Linked DNA regions of Tamandua tetradactyla. The protein of the gene in region 1 interacts with the protein of each later gene in a biochemical or structural test. Links are inferred from orthologs where the notes say so. Each region holds a gene or a part of one and is shown on either strand. Other genes may lie near its edges.

Region 1 (7,852 bases):
ATGTTCTGTACAAGCTAATGTTGTGCAATGATGCATTTCAGAGTATTTTGGGCAGAAAATGAAAAAGTGTTTGCAAAGTCCCTTGAGGGACTGAGAAAAATAGAGGTATTAAACTTCCCTACCTGGGGAATTCCTGACATTTTCTTGTTGCTTCCTATGAAACGGAGCTCGAAGGATATTAAGGAATGACGAGAAAGAAAGAGAGAGACTGAAAGAAAGAAAGAGACAGATGGGATCGGGGGTCTGAAGCTTAACTTTTACAAACAACAGACAACTTTATTCTGAACCAGATCCTGCTTATATACTGCAGGGTAACAAAAGGCATGCCTGCATTTCCTGAGGAAACAAAGTACTTAACTTTCTTCATACTTAAGGTAACCATTTGGGGGTAAACAAGCATTCTGTTCCTCCAGACTGTTCCAAACAAAGCAGGTAACAATCTCCTCAGTTTCTTGCCTGCCCAGGGATGCCAGCTGCTCCCAACAAATTCTGCAGGTCTTGTTTTAACCCTTTGGCTCCTACATTTTCTTAAGCAAGAGGGGCTCCCAATTTAATAAACCAAGGCTCAGTTTTGAGACTTGCCCTTATGAAACTTATTTCTGTAATAGTAAACTGAACTTACATAGGATTGGTGCCCAAGAGTCATCTCCAGAAAAATCTCTTCTGTTGCTCAAATGTGCCTCTCTAAGCCAAACTCTGAGCTTCTCCCCAATGTGGGACATGATCTCCAGGATTGTAAGCCTGGCTCTGGCAGTGTGAGACACAATTGGCCCTGGCATCATGAGACATAAGTACCGAGGATGAGTCTGGCCCTGGCATCATGGATTAGTTGACCAAAAGGAATAAATAAATTGAGTTTCAATGGCTAAAAGATTTCAAATCAAGTTGAGAGGTCATTCTGGAGGTTACTTTTATGCAAGTTTCAGCCAGATATTGCGAACTGTCACAAGATGGCAAACCCCAACCAATAGTGTTCCTGGAAACCTTGAAAGATAGCCTATGCGCTATAAAATTTTACTTATTAAGTTTGTTTTTCAGAGACTTGAAACCTTCAGATTGTTCCAATGCCAGAGAAGCTCTGAAACCAAGAGATACTGGGCTCTCCAAGAATAACAACTGGTTTCATCAGTTCAACCCCTTGTCTCTTGATAACCCCCCCCCCCCATTTTCAGCCTTGAAGAAGTTAGAGAGTCATCACCAGGTATCCCTCAAGATTGAGAGATAATTATCAAATGAGACGGAGGAATTGTAACCAAGAAATTAGGATTTAAGGGATGATTTTGATTACGAATCATATTCCTTTTTTCTTTTTGGGATGTTGGAGTAGGCAGAGGGAATACCTGAAAGCCCTAAACTACAATTCAGCTGCCCTGATATCTGAAATGATTGTAAAAGCCCTTCTCTTGTGCCTTTATGGCTGTAAGAGCTATTATGCCCTTTATCTGGTCATTTTCTTGTAGGGCAAATGCCCTAATGCTAATGAAGTCAGCCACTGACTAGCCTCAGCCCCAGACATTTGCAAATTGTACCAGCTAGATTCTCCTATTGCAAGATAACTTGTCTCCCTTCCTTCGGGCTCACACCTTTAGTGATGAAGTAATATAGCTTTGCTTCCTTTCCTTTCAGCTTCTATTCTTCTATTGAAATGACCATCACACTCTCTCCTTTTCTCCTTTGAATTTGCTATTCAAATGACTTTATCTCCCCTTGCTAAAATGTTTAAAAACCTTGAACCCCCTAAACTTGGGGGGACAGATTTTGGGCCGCTAGATCATCTGCTGTCCTACTATGCACCTGTGTTAGTTAGATTCAGTTGTCAACTTGGCCAGGTGAGCATACCTAATCTTGTTGCTGCGGACATAAGCCAACGGTATGTGAACCTCATCTGTTGCCAATTACATCTGCAGTCGGCTAGGAGGCGTGTCTGCTGCAATGAGTGATGTTTGACTTAATTGGCTGGTGCTTAAATGAGAGATTCCCAACGTAGCACAGTTTAGCAGCTTGGCATTCCTCATCTCAGCACTTGCAGCTCAGCCCAGGCCCTTGGAGATGGAGGAAGAAATCACCCCGGGTAAAGTTGTTGGAACCCAGGGGCCTGGAGAGAAGACCAGCAGAGACCATCCTGTGCCTTCCACGTAAGAAAGAACCTCAGTGGAAAGTTAGCTGCCTTTCCTCTGAAGAACCAACAAAAATAAATCCCCTTTTATTAAAAGCCAATCCGTCTCTGGTGTGTTGCATTCCAGCAGCTAGCAAACTAGAACAGCACCTAGTAATAAATTCTTTATCTCGTAGAAAAAACAAATGAACAGAGAAAAAAACAAAACAGTGTAGCCAGGCAGGCTTCATTGAAAAGGTGACATTTAAGCCAAGACTTTGAAGAGGTGGAAAGAGAGCCAGGCTAGAATCTAGGGGAGGAGAGGTCCAAGCAAAGGGAGCAGCCAGTGTAAAGGCTCTGAGATAGAAATCCTTCTGATATGATGTGGTAGGGAAAGCAAGGAGGCCCGTGTGTTGGAGTGGAGTCAGCAGTGGCGTGAGTAGGACATGAGAGCAGAGAACAGGACAGTGACGGGTGTAGGGCGTCAGGGAACCAGAATGGGGAGCTGTAAGGACTAAGGGAGGTGGGGACCATTAGAGAGTCCGAGCAGAGGGCCATAATCTGACCTAACAATTGAACAGGATTTTCTGGCTGCTAAGTGGAGAAGACAAGGGATGGTGGCCAGGCACAAGGGGAGAGAATTGTGATTATCGTATGTGATGCAGTGGAGACGGAGAGTGGTGAGGAATTGGGGAGGTGCTGTGGGCTGGGCATGGGGTGTGAGCAAAAGAACAGTCAGAGACAATTCCAGGATTTTGGCCTGTGCACCTGGTGGGGTGGAGTTGCCTTAAATGGGGTGGGGAAGGCTTTGGGAGGAGCAAGTTTGGGGGCCAATCAGAAGTAGTTTGGATTCAGCCCCTTAGAAGAAACAGGTGGGGGTTGAATGTGCGAGCCAGATGTTCGAGGGGGGCTTGGAGGTTACTGTAGAATCATCAGTAAGGAGGTGGTCTTTCAAGCCCAAAAGTGGGAGAGCCTCCCCAATGTGGAAATGACTCCCAGGCATGTAAATCTCCCTGGCAACGTGGGACAGGACTCCCGGGATGAGCTGGGACCCGGAATCATGGGACTGAGAAAGCCTTCTTGACCAAAAAGGGGAAGAGAAAAATGAGACAAAATAAAGTCTCAGTGGCTGAGAGATTTCAGACAGAGGCAAGAGGTTATCCTGGAGGGTATTCTTATGCGTTATATAGATATCCCTTTTTAGTTTATGATGCATCGGAGGGGCACCTGAAACCATTGAACTGTGTTCCAGCAGCTTTGACTTTGAAGACAATTATATAACTATATAGCTTTTACAATTTGGAATTGTGAAACCTTGTGGCTGATACTCCATTTATCCAGGGTATGGACATATATGTAAAAAAAATAAGGACAGTAAATAAATAATAGGGGAAGATGGGGTAAAAATTTGGGTGGATTGCAATACTAGTGGTCAATGAGAAGGACGGGCAAGGGGTATGGGATGTACGAGTTTTTTCTCTTTATTTCTTTTTCTGGAGTGATACAAATGCACTCGTGATGCTGAATACGCAACTATATGATGTTTTGTGAGCCACTGGCCATATATTATGGATGAACTGCACATGTGTGAAGATATCTTAATAAATATATATATACATATACAGAATGTGTATATAGATACACACACACACACACACTTGAAGCACATAAATATTTACATGTAAATTTAAAGTGTGTGTGTGTGTATCTATATACACATTCTGTATATGTGTGTATATATATATATATATGTAAAGTGGGAGAGGCCACAGGGAGTGAGTTGGGGAGTCCGGGGACGGACTGGGGGTCAGGAAAGGAGAAGGAAACCTCAAAGGAGTCAGAGAAGGGGGGCGACGCAGTGAGCTGGGAGAAGAGCCAGGCGCGCAGAGAAAGGCCATCGAAGTTGAGCGATCAGAGCACAGGTGAGGCGAGGCCTGAGAACGAACCTAGGATATAGGCTCGTGGAGGCCACCGGTGACCTTGATGAGAATGGTTTCCGAGGAGGGTGGGGCGAAAGCCGGGCCCGAGTGCCCTCCAGAGTGACCGAAGCGAGAGGACAGAGAGCATATGACACCGGCAGCTCCGGAGCCGGAGCGGGGCTGTGGAACCGAGCAGGGGGCGCACGAGGGGGTGGATTGGGGTGTGGGTGGGGAGGACGTGACACTTAAGAAAGTGGGAAAATTTCTTGTAAATGCAATACTTGTTCCAAACCAAAATAAAAATAAGCGGGGTGGAGGTATGTGTCGCTGGACAGAAGGCCAGGCCTGGGGCTTGGGGGGTTGGGGGTGGGGCCCAGAGCCAGGTTTCCGCCCTAAATTTAGCTTCGCTCGGGGTTAGGGCCTGCCTCCGGCCTGCGCCCCGGGAACCTGACACCGCGGCCCGGAGCCGGGCCCTTGCCCCGACGGTGTCGGGTCACCCTCGGGAGGCGGCCGGGAGCGGCGCCCAGTGGGATTCGCGCGCCCACCTGTCGCGGCCCGTTTCCCGGGGCTGACGGGGTCAGGCTGGAGCGTCGGGGGGAGACCCAGGTGGCGGGCGCACGGCACCGTCCGCCTTTCAAATCCCCTCGCCCTTCCCATCTCGCCAGTCTCCAGCGCGCACCCTCCCCGCGGGGCTCCCGGGCGGACGCGCCCCGGGCTCACGGCTCCGCCTTCCGGGTCTCGGCTCCGCCTTTCCGGCCTCGGCTCCGCCCTTCCTCTCCGAGTAGGCGCTAGGAGGCCGGCCCGCTCCCGGGGCCGTGTGTGCGGAGCGCACGTATGGCGGCCGTGGGACCCCGGACAGGCCCGGGGGCCGGGGCCGAGGCGCTGGCGCTGGCTGCAGAGCTGCAGGGCGAGGCGACGTGCTCCATCTGCCTGGAGCTCTTCCGGGAGCCCGTGTCTGTCGAGTGTGGCCACAGCTTCTGCCGCGCGTGCATCTCGCGCTGCTGGGAGCGCCCGGCTTCCGGGGCCCCCGCCGCGCCCCCTGCCCGGTCCAGCCCTCTTCCCTGCCCGCAGTGCCGCGAGCCGACGCGCCCGGACCACCTGCGGCCCAACCGGCAGCTGGCCGCCGTGGCCGCGCTGCTGCGGCGATTCAGCCTGCCCGCGGCCGCCGGCGGGGAGCGCGGACGGCGGGAGGCGGCGGCCAGCTGCGGGCTGCACGGAGAGCCGCTCAAGCTCTTTTGCCAGGACGACGGGCGCGCCATTTGCGTGGTGTGCGACCGTGCCCGCGAGCACCGCTCACACGCGGTGCTGCCACTGGACGAGGCGGTGCAAGAGGCCAAGGTGAGAATCCGGTCATACCTCGCCTGTCCCCGCGACCCTTGGGCTCTGAGCCTACCAGCCCGCACACCCGGTGCATCCCACTCGCAGGCAGGCAGGCAGGGGCGCTGGTGAGTCCCTGCCCCCTTTCTCCTATCCGCCGCCGCCCAGCGCTGCCTCCGGGGCGGAAGGCGGTTCTCCTGTCAGCACCACACCACCAACACGCACACACACGCACGCACACGCGCGCCCGCATTTCCCTCTGGTTCCCATGCTGGATCGCCTGCGTGACGCCCCCACGGACCTTGCGATTTTCTTCCTCTCGGTTCCGGGCCTCTAGCGGCCTCTCGGTTATTGCAGCTCTTGGCTCAGGAGAAACCCCGTCACACCCACACGTCCCCTGACCCCACTCAGCTTCGTCTCCCGGGCGTGGCCTTGCTCAGTGTCCCCCCTCCCCTCCGGGACCTGGTGGAGCGACCTCCACGAGGCCGAGGGGGCAAGAGCCGGATTCCTGACCCGCGTGAGGAGTTCGCTGAAGCCATCCCCATGGCCCCTTGCGGCCTCCTTGCTGGGGCCGCGGCCCGGCAGTGTGTGGAGGCCTCGGGCGCTCTGTGCTTGCTCTCCCACCATGCTCAACCCTTCCATCCAAAGGGGAGCAGAGACGACGCGGGCTGCGCCGGAGGGGGGCTTGTGTTTCAGCCTGCAGTGTGCAGCTGGTGACCTGGAGGAAGTGAGACCCCAGGGCCTTTGGAGTTACCCTGGGTGTGCTGCATCCTTCCCGATATCCAGTGGAGGCTGCCACCAGCCTCCTCAATGAGCAAGGACTTCCTGGATGGCTCCAGAAAGCGACTTCCCAGACTCCTTGCCCCTCTCCTTCTCACTTCTCTCTCTTCTGCAGGAGCTCCTGGAGGCCAGGCTGAGGGTCCTGAAGAAGGAGCTGGAGGAGTATGAGATGTTCAGGTCCACAGAGGAAAAGGAGAGCAGGGAGCTCCTGGTGAGCTGGTCACCCCAGCTGGACCCCAGTGGGGGACAACAGCAGAGTTGCCCCCACCCCCACCCCCGGCTCTGGGTGTGGTGTTGGAATGCATGGATTTTAGAAAGTTAATCTGGTGCATATTATATAGAGTGACATTATAATTCATTCTGCAATCCGGGGCTTTGGAGAGTGAAAGGGTGTACTAAAGTAATCAGTCTAGAACAACTGGTATAAAAGTCAAATTGCCTGTGAATCAGGATGTACGGTCACCCTAACGTTATGTAACTCCCCAATTGGGGCGTGGGGCAGCATGTTGCAGTTTAACACAGTAATATTTCGGCACAGAAGTATATGAATATTCTTACTAAGTAGGAGCATACTTATAATAAATAGCCTCATATCAGTTCAGTGCATGTTTTACTACCAAATGCGTTATGGAAAAAAAATCAATTTTCAGAGTGTTTTAGATTTTGGAATTGTTTTGGTTTGTTAAATGCTGCAGGAATGCAATATACCAGAAATGGGTTGGCTTTTATAAAAGGAATTTATTAGGTTACACGTTTACATAAGGCCATAAAAATGTCCAAACTAAGGCATCCAGATAAAGATAACCTTGACTCAAGAAAGGGCGGATGATGTTCTGGGTTCTCTGTCAGCTGGAAAGGCAAGTGGCCACATCTGCTAGCTTTCTCTCCTGGCTTCTCACTCCATAAACCTTCCTGGGGCATTTTCTTTCTGCAGCTCCAAAGATTTCTTCTCTGGTCAGCTCTGAACCTTTTTCCAAAATGGCTCACTCTTAAGGGTTCCGGTAAGCGTATTATAACCCACCTTGAATGGGTGGAGATGCATCTCCATGGAAACCATCTAATCAAAGGGTCACATCTCTATGGAAACAACTTAATAAAAAAGATCCCACCCAACAATATTGAATCAGGATTAAAGAGCATGGCTTTTCTGGAGTACACCATAGTTTCAAACTGGCACACTGACTCTTATTTGTCTACTTCAAATTCTGTTCCTCGCTCAATTTGTAGGTGTTGAATGAATGTCTCCACTAGAGCTGGTCAGTGTGGGGCTTTCTGTTCTGGAGCTGGAACTTAGAGGAGGAGTAACTTGAGGACCCTCCTTTCCTCAAGGTGGAAGTGGAGGGGACAGGGGGAGGACTCTCTAGTTGAGATGCCCCCGGTTCCTTTCCTGCCCCCAAATGCATCCAGTGTGCCTCTCAGAACTCCCAGTTTATTCATCCACTTCCCTCCACCAGGAAGAGCTCACACCTCCTCACCCTTATTCCTTTCCTGCTGGAGAAGGGGGTAAGCAAGTCTCTTCAGAAGCTGCTGTTTTACATCCAGGACCCAAGGGGCCTCCCTGCAGCATGGGCAGCTTCTCAGTCACTGTCAGGACCCCATGACTCTGCTTAGCAACTTCCACCGCTGCCCTCTCCCAACGTCCAGCTTCCCACTTCCACTTGTGGCCCATACATCATCATTACAAAAGACTGTTTGATGAAACCACAGAAGTAGAGCCTAACTTTTGCTGCATGTTTACAAG
Region 2 (6,931 bases), about 59 Mb from region 1:
CCTTAGGTGACTAGGAAGATTGAAAGGAATCCCATGTGTGTGGAAACTGTCTGCAGTGATAAAGCACTGTACGTATCAGGGCACTGTTATCTGGTAACAAACATTTTTGTAAACAGAATATTCATCTCAGACATCTGTGGTAAAGACTCTGTGACTGAGGGAACTTGAGTATCAGGCAGGACATAGTTAAATCACAGGACCATCTGCATAATCTGCTGAGCTCAGTGCAGAATGAAAATGTGGGGGGCTTTTGTTCTAAGACCATTAAGAATCTCAAGATAATGTTAGGAGGGTATTAAAGCAACATGGACCCTTCTCAGTGCAGGGCCCTAAGAAGCTGCACAGATCCTGGCTCTGCATGCCCCTTAGCCAGCAGACCTTATTAAGGATGAATGCTTTCCATGGGTTTGTGCACTGACAGTTCCTTCACCCCTGCCCTGCCCTGCCCCTGTCATTTTTAAAAGCTGGGTCCTTTTGATTGGGTCTATGCTGAGATTTCTTGGCTTACTTCTGCTTTAGTGAAGGTTTGAAGCAAAACTTAGAGTGAAATTTTCCAAGAATGAGTTTGGGGGAAGATATTGTCTTTTCGATGAAGGGACTAAGATTTAAGAATTGTTCTGCCTGAACCTAGTGGCTGATTAGTTTCAGAAAACCAGGATAACAATCTCATGGGTTGTCTTGGGACCATAGCCAATGTGATATTGGCAGATGAAACATTATAGGGTAAACTTGAACTTTCCTCAAAGAAAATAAGAAAAGGGAAAGAAAGAAGGCAGGAAGAAAGAAAAAAAGGGGGGGGAATGAAAGGAGGAAGTGAGGGGAAGGAGGAGAGAGAGAGAGAGAGAGAGAGAGAGAGAGAGAGAGAGAGAGAGAGAGAGAGAGAGCGCGAGAGAGAGAGAGAGAGAGAGAGAGAGAGAGAGAGAGAGAGAGAGAGAGAGAAAGGAAGGAAGGAATAAAGAAAGGAAGGAAGGGGAAAAAAGGAAGGAAGGAAGGGAGAAAGAAAGAAAAGAAAAGGTCAAACAACAAAACAAATCAAACAACAGAACAAATCCAGACTTAGTAAAGAGAGACTATATTCAAGAGGATTATTGCAAAGTGGGAAAGAGATTATTAAAATAGAGGAGAACTATCACAATAGGGAGAATGCTCTGATCATAACATAGTAGGCTAAAACGAGTTTTCTTTTATAGGGAGAAAAGAACCAGGTATAAGAAGTGGGATGAAGGTTGGCATAATCAAATAGTAGATCTGAGAATATTTTATGCTGAAGCAGCCTATTTTCTGGGAGGGACCATTAAAGTTCAAGAGGGAAGGAGAGAAATTTAAGCAATGTTTGGTTAATAAGTATTTTGTTGCAATTGATTAGCAGGGAACCAGCAGTCCAGCTAATTATTGATGAGGCAAAGGAAGGGAATGTGGAGGGTCTGTGTCCAGCCTTGTCATAGGTAAACAAGGGGACATTCTGAGTCTTATCTAAGTCATATGGGGGAAGGGTGTTTTTTTTTTTCACGTTGTCCTTGTTGTTTTTGGTAAAAAAAAAGTTTTCCAGAATACAAAGGATGGTGGAATTTCTTAAACTTTGCTCCTTTCCAGAAATAAAGGCCTTGAGTAAGGTTCAACATTGCCAAACAGAAAAGGAGAGAAAGGGAAGGGAAGGGGAGGGGTAGAAAGGGGAGGAGAAGAGGGGAGGAAAGGGGAGGGAAGGGGGGGGGAACAATGGCTTCCAGTCTAGCCAGTAAGACAGACAGGCTTGCTTGAGAGTAAATGGTCTGGAAGACCAATTTTGAAAGGAGTTTTGCTGATAAAAATCATAGACACCTACTTTTCTTTTTTAATGGTTCCATAGTCCAGTGCCTGGTGTTAATGCTGATTCAATAAATGTGTTGAATGAATAATGCATGCAGGAAATGAACAAATGTTATCATCCAGGATATTTGTGCAGTGAAGGGGTACAGCCTCCGAACACGTGGAATAGGCCATGACTTCTTCCCACCCTCAACCAAGAGAAAACCACTTTAAAATTCTCACAAGCATACGTACATGGCACCTTGAAAGCATTGCAATGGCAAACAAATGGCAGATGGGTTTTACCTTCCAAGAGAGTGCTGATTTTGTACTGCAATACCTAAAGTAAAACATGCTAAACATATCTAGAGTCTGCCCAGAGGGTTCTCTTCGAGTCAGCCACCGCAAATATAGAAAGGGCATGTTTAAAGGCTTACTAAGAGTTTTAACATTTCGGGGTTTAAGAGCTGAAAGAAGGCTGATGGACCACATTACATGGGATGCTGTGGCATTTTGCATAGAACATGTGAAATACACTAAATGTATGCTCACATCCTCCCGAAAAAGGTCGAAGTGTTTCTAAGCTAGTCAGCGGAAGGTCACCAGGGAGATGTGTTGCAGAAAACTGGCCTTCCCAGCTTCAGTTAGGCTTCTCCAGGGACATCCCCAAGTTGTCCGAGTTTGGGGGCTGAGCCCTCCTCTCTCCTAAAGGCAAGGCTTTCTGCTGGGAAGAAATGCGGGGCTGGGGGTGGGAGCTCCTCAACTGAGAGGGGGCAGGGCAGAACTGGACAAAGGCACAGTGCTTGTTCAGAAAAGCCCACATTCTGGTCAAAGAAGGGTCACACTGGGGCCGTTTCAAGGGTTCTCCTGTCCTGGGCCTTTTCGCATGAGCCGTGATCGCAAGAAATTGCTTCTGGGCCTATTGACATTTTATTTTGATAAGTCGGTAATAAGCGCTGCGATCAAATTCAAGCTGCAGGTGTGAATAAAGGACAGCAAGTAATATAGAAGGGCAAAAAAACAAATTTGTGAAAAAGTGAGCAAAATAACGAATACTCGAGCCTGCGAAATGCGCAAACTCGAGTGTCAATCTCAGAACGTTAGGCAGAGATTAATGACTTCATAGAAGCTAAATTCTTCCCGATTTTGGTCTTTGGCATCGGCAAGCACACTCACAGGTGCATGCACTCTTAGGGCTAAATTATCCTTTCCTGGGATTTTCCCCGCTGCATGTGATGGATTACAGGTGCATTCAAAGCAGCGATCTAGTGTCTGGAGAAAGGTTCTCCTCCCTCCTGAACTGACATCAGGGTCACTGGTTTCCTCCGCTAACCTCGCAAAGCCGCTTCTGGCTCAAAAGTTTTTCAGAGGAAGCGCCCCCCACCCCCCCGCAACCTTATATATTTCTCTTACTTCGTATCCATAATAGTTATTAAAATAATTTAAGGGTTGTTGAAAGTGAATTTAGAGGCTTCACACAGTATTTGGAAGAGATATGGATACTAGTCAACACATATCACGAAACTTGAAGCGTCTATGAAAAGAATTCCTATATTTTCAGGATATTTTAGGTTTTTCAGGAGAGAAGAAGACAGCCCTTGAAGAGAGGGCGGCGGGTGCGCACAGCAGCCTGCCCAGGCACCCACCGGGGGCAGACATCACCACAGGCCAGCCCCTGCCTCCCCCAAGGCATCGCATGATTACTAGAGAATCACGATGATATGCAAGGACATGGAAGAAAACATGAAGGCACGGACGTGAATGAAATACAAATAAATGAACAACTAAGGGGAAAGGAGCGAAGGCGGTCAAAAAAAAAAAGGAGGAGGAATCGGAGTCGGGAGGATTGAATTTCGAGCCAATCAAGATCGGCCTATTTGGGTACATGCAGGAGACGCCTCCTGCTCCGCGGGCCTCTGCAGGTAGCGTGGGTGGCGCCGCTGTCCCGAGCATCCTGCATCCTGGCGCTCCCACCTCCCTGAGCCCCCAGACTCCCGTGCGCTTCGGCTCCGCAAGCCCGGCCGCCGTCCCGGGTGCCCATCCCAAGACGTCACCCGAGACCCAAAGCCGAGCCCGGCCCGGCGCGGTTCCTCGTATGCGCCCTCACCGCTAGGCGCCCGCATGCCGGAGAACACATGTCCCGGGATCCGCTTCCGCGGGAGGGGGCTGGAGCTGGCGACCCGGGCCCCAGGACTAGAAATCACCGCCCTTTCAGACCCCCACTGTCTTTGGTTGGTACTTTAGAATTTGGGGACAGGTGGAGCTTTTCCAACACGTTCTGTCTGGTTTCCGATTTGAAATTCCAGATTCCTGAATGAATTGCCCTAACTAGTTCACCTTTGGGCCTCCAGGTCCTTCCCCTGACGGAGGAGGTCTTGGTCTGCCTTTGTCCACTACCCTAAAAGATTAGCTGGATTCCTGATTAGACACACTCGGCCTGCTCTTTGTCTACTATACATATATGTTTTAATCTGTAGTGTCAGATTTTGTGCCGTGTCTTCCAGAGTCACCTCTACAGAAGAATTTTCACAATATTTCATACGCCAGAACAAATTCTAGCATTTAGTTAAAAAAATCTCTTTAAACAAGTAACAAATTCCTGTCATTTCTCGCGTATAGGAATAGGCTCAATGAGTTATTTTGCAGCAGGGCTGGGACTACAGTGTGGAGCTGGGGTGGTGTGTTTGGTTTTATATTTTAAACTTTATGCATCTGCCCACAAGTACCTGAGTCAGTCCAAACGTGTATGCAAACTACACATTTTATTGGTCAGTTAGCTCCTGATATAAGGAGGAAATTTAAGGAACTGGCCTCTGGGTCAGAAGCCCCTATGATCTCATAAACACTGCTTTTCTGTTTTTAATAAAAAGGACGGGGCTGCAGAGGAAGGTAAGGTAAGGTAAGGAAAGACAGGGACAGAGCTCAGCTCACAGTGTTTGCTGTGCATGGCCAACAGCTGCCTTGGGGCCACTTGGGGAAGAAGCCAGCCCGATCCTGCTACAAGTGTGGAAAGATGGAGGGTTGGAAATACAAGTGTCCTCAGGGATACCAAGAGCCCCTGGGGCCTTGCCTTAGGTGTAGGAAAGCCGGACACTGGGCCCAGGGGTGCACTGAGTCCCAGAGGGAAATAGAGACCCTCCTGAAAGCTTTTGTGACTGCTCCCAAGCAAGATTGAGGAGGCCTGGGCCACTAGTGGCTCCCTGGACTTCACTGAAAAACATCAATTGCGATGAGTCTTGAGTGACCTTCAATGTGGCAGGTAAGGCAATTGATTTTTTTTAATTGATATTGGAGCCACTTATTCTGGTTTGACCGGTTACTCAGCCCCAATGTCCCCGTGAGTCTGTCCTATTGTAAAAGCCAAAGTCTAAAGCCAAAACCGTCACCCAGCCCCTTCTTTGTCAAATTGGCAGCATAATTTTGAATCATCAGTTCTTGGTGGTACCAGCGTGTCCTAGCCCACTTCTAGGAAGAGACTTGCAATGGGCATCGGGTGCACAAATCCGGCTAATAGGCTGCTGGCCTACCCAATGTCTTAAGGATGCTTCAGAGGTGTCTGTAACTGTATGTCCAGCTTTAGCTGGATCCAGAAACCCAGACAGTCTCACCCTGAACTGGCTAATGAAGTCAGTCCAGTGGTATGGGAAACAGAAATATCCAGAAACGCTACTCACATCTCTCCGATCCTAATCAATTGACAGGATCAACCCTTTCCCAAGAGAAAGCAGTACCCTCTTAAAACTGAAGATATAATGGGTATCTAACCCCTTACCCAGAAGTTCCTGAAAACTGGCCTTCTAGTCACTTGTCAGTCTCCCTGTGATACCCTACCCTGCCTGTCAAAAAGCCACATGGGACGTATGAGTTGGTACAGGACCTCAGACCTGTGAATAGCTTTGCCATTCCCCCTTCATCCTCTAGTTTCCAACCCTTATACTCTTCTTAACAAAATTCCTATCTCTGCCCTAAGATACTTAGTACTCGATTTAAAATATGCCTTCTTCTGTATGTCTTTAGACCCAAACTCCCAATTTTTGTCTGCCTCTGAACGGCAGGGTTACTGGTTTGAAGATGTTATATACCCCAGAAAAGCCATGTTCTCTTTCCTAATCCAATCTTGTGGGGGCAGACCTACCACTTAGGGTGGAAAGTTTGATTGGATTATTTTCGTAGAGATGTGCTGTGCTCAGTTGGGGTGTGACTTTTCTTTTTGTGGTGTGACATTTTGATTAGGTTGTTTCCATGGAGATGTGACACACAAGTGTGGCTCGGATTTTTTTATTAGGTGGAGATGTGATTTCACCCACTCAAAGTTAGTCTTTTTTTTTTAATTGCTAATTATTTTTTGTTTATTTATTCAGTGAAATTTTTAAACAATTTTTATTATGAAATATAACATATATACAAAAAAGCAATAAATATTCAAAGTACATTGTAACAAATAGTTGTAGACCAAATTTTAGTTTGGTATGGGTTTCTGTTCCACAATTTTATGTTTTTCCTTCTAGCTGCTCCAAGAAACTGGAGACTAAAAAAATATAAATATCATGATTCAGCAGTGATACTCATTTGTTAAGTCCTACCTTCTCTGTATAACTCCACCATCACCTTTAATCTTTCTCCCACTCTTTAGGGGTATTTGGGCTATGCCCATTCTAACTTTTTCATGTTGGAAGGGGGTATTGGTAGTATAGGAAAGGGAGATGGAACTAGTTAATGTTCTGGAGAGGCTGACCCCTCTGCATTTCAGACTCGCATGGTCTGAGTACTCATCTGGAGGTTGTAGATTTCTTGCAAGTTACCCTAGTGCATGGAACCTTTGTAGAACCTTATATAATGGCGAAGGTGTTCTTTAGGATTGGCAGGAATGGCTTTGGTTGGGGGGTTGGCAAGTTATTACAGGTAGCAATGTTTAACTGAAGTGTGCATAAGAGTGACCTCCAGAGTAGCCTCTCGATTCTATTTGAACTCTCTCAGCCACTGATACCTTATTTGAAACACTTCTTTCCCCACTTTTGGTCAGAATGGCATTGTTGATCCCACGGTACCAGGGCCAGACATCCCTGGGAATCATCTCCCACACTGCAGGGAGAATTTCACCCATAAATGTTGTGTCCCTTGTAGGAGGGAGGGCAATGAATTCATT

The links. The genes of interacting proteins can lie anywhere in the genome.
Region 2: the proteins of TRIM7 (region 1) and RNF187 interact in a test that uses a peptide from one of them, tested with the Homo sapiens proteins (2 studies listed by BioGRID, with this or other methods). The link is inferred for Tamandua tetradactyla from reciprocal best matches to the Homo sapiens genes TRIM7 and RNF187.

What each region holds. Positions count from the first base shown.
Region 1 is NC_135346.1:3,285,060-3,292,911, reverse strand, and holds the start of TRIM7 (E3 ubiquitin-protein ligase TRIM7), read left to right. Parts: upstream 1-4,795; 5' UTR 4,796-4,848; coding exon 4,849-5,352; intron 5,353-6,226; coding exon 6,227-6,322; intron 6,323-7,852. UniProt on the Homo sapiens protein: E3 ubiquitin-protein ligase that have both tumor-promoting and tumor-suppressing activities and functions in several biological processes including innate immunity, regulation of ferroptosis as well as cell proliferation and migration.
Region 2 is NC_135346.1:62,360,719-62,367,649, reverse strand, and holds the start of RNF187 (E3 ubiquitin-protein ligase RNF187), read left to right. Parts: upstream 1-3,906; coding exon 3,907-4,020; intron 4,021-6,931.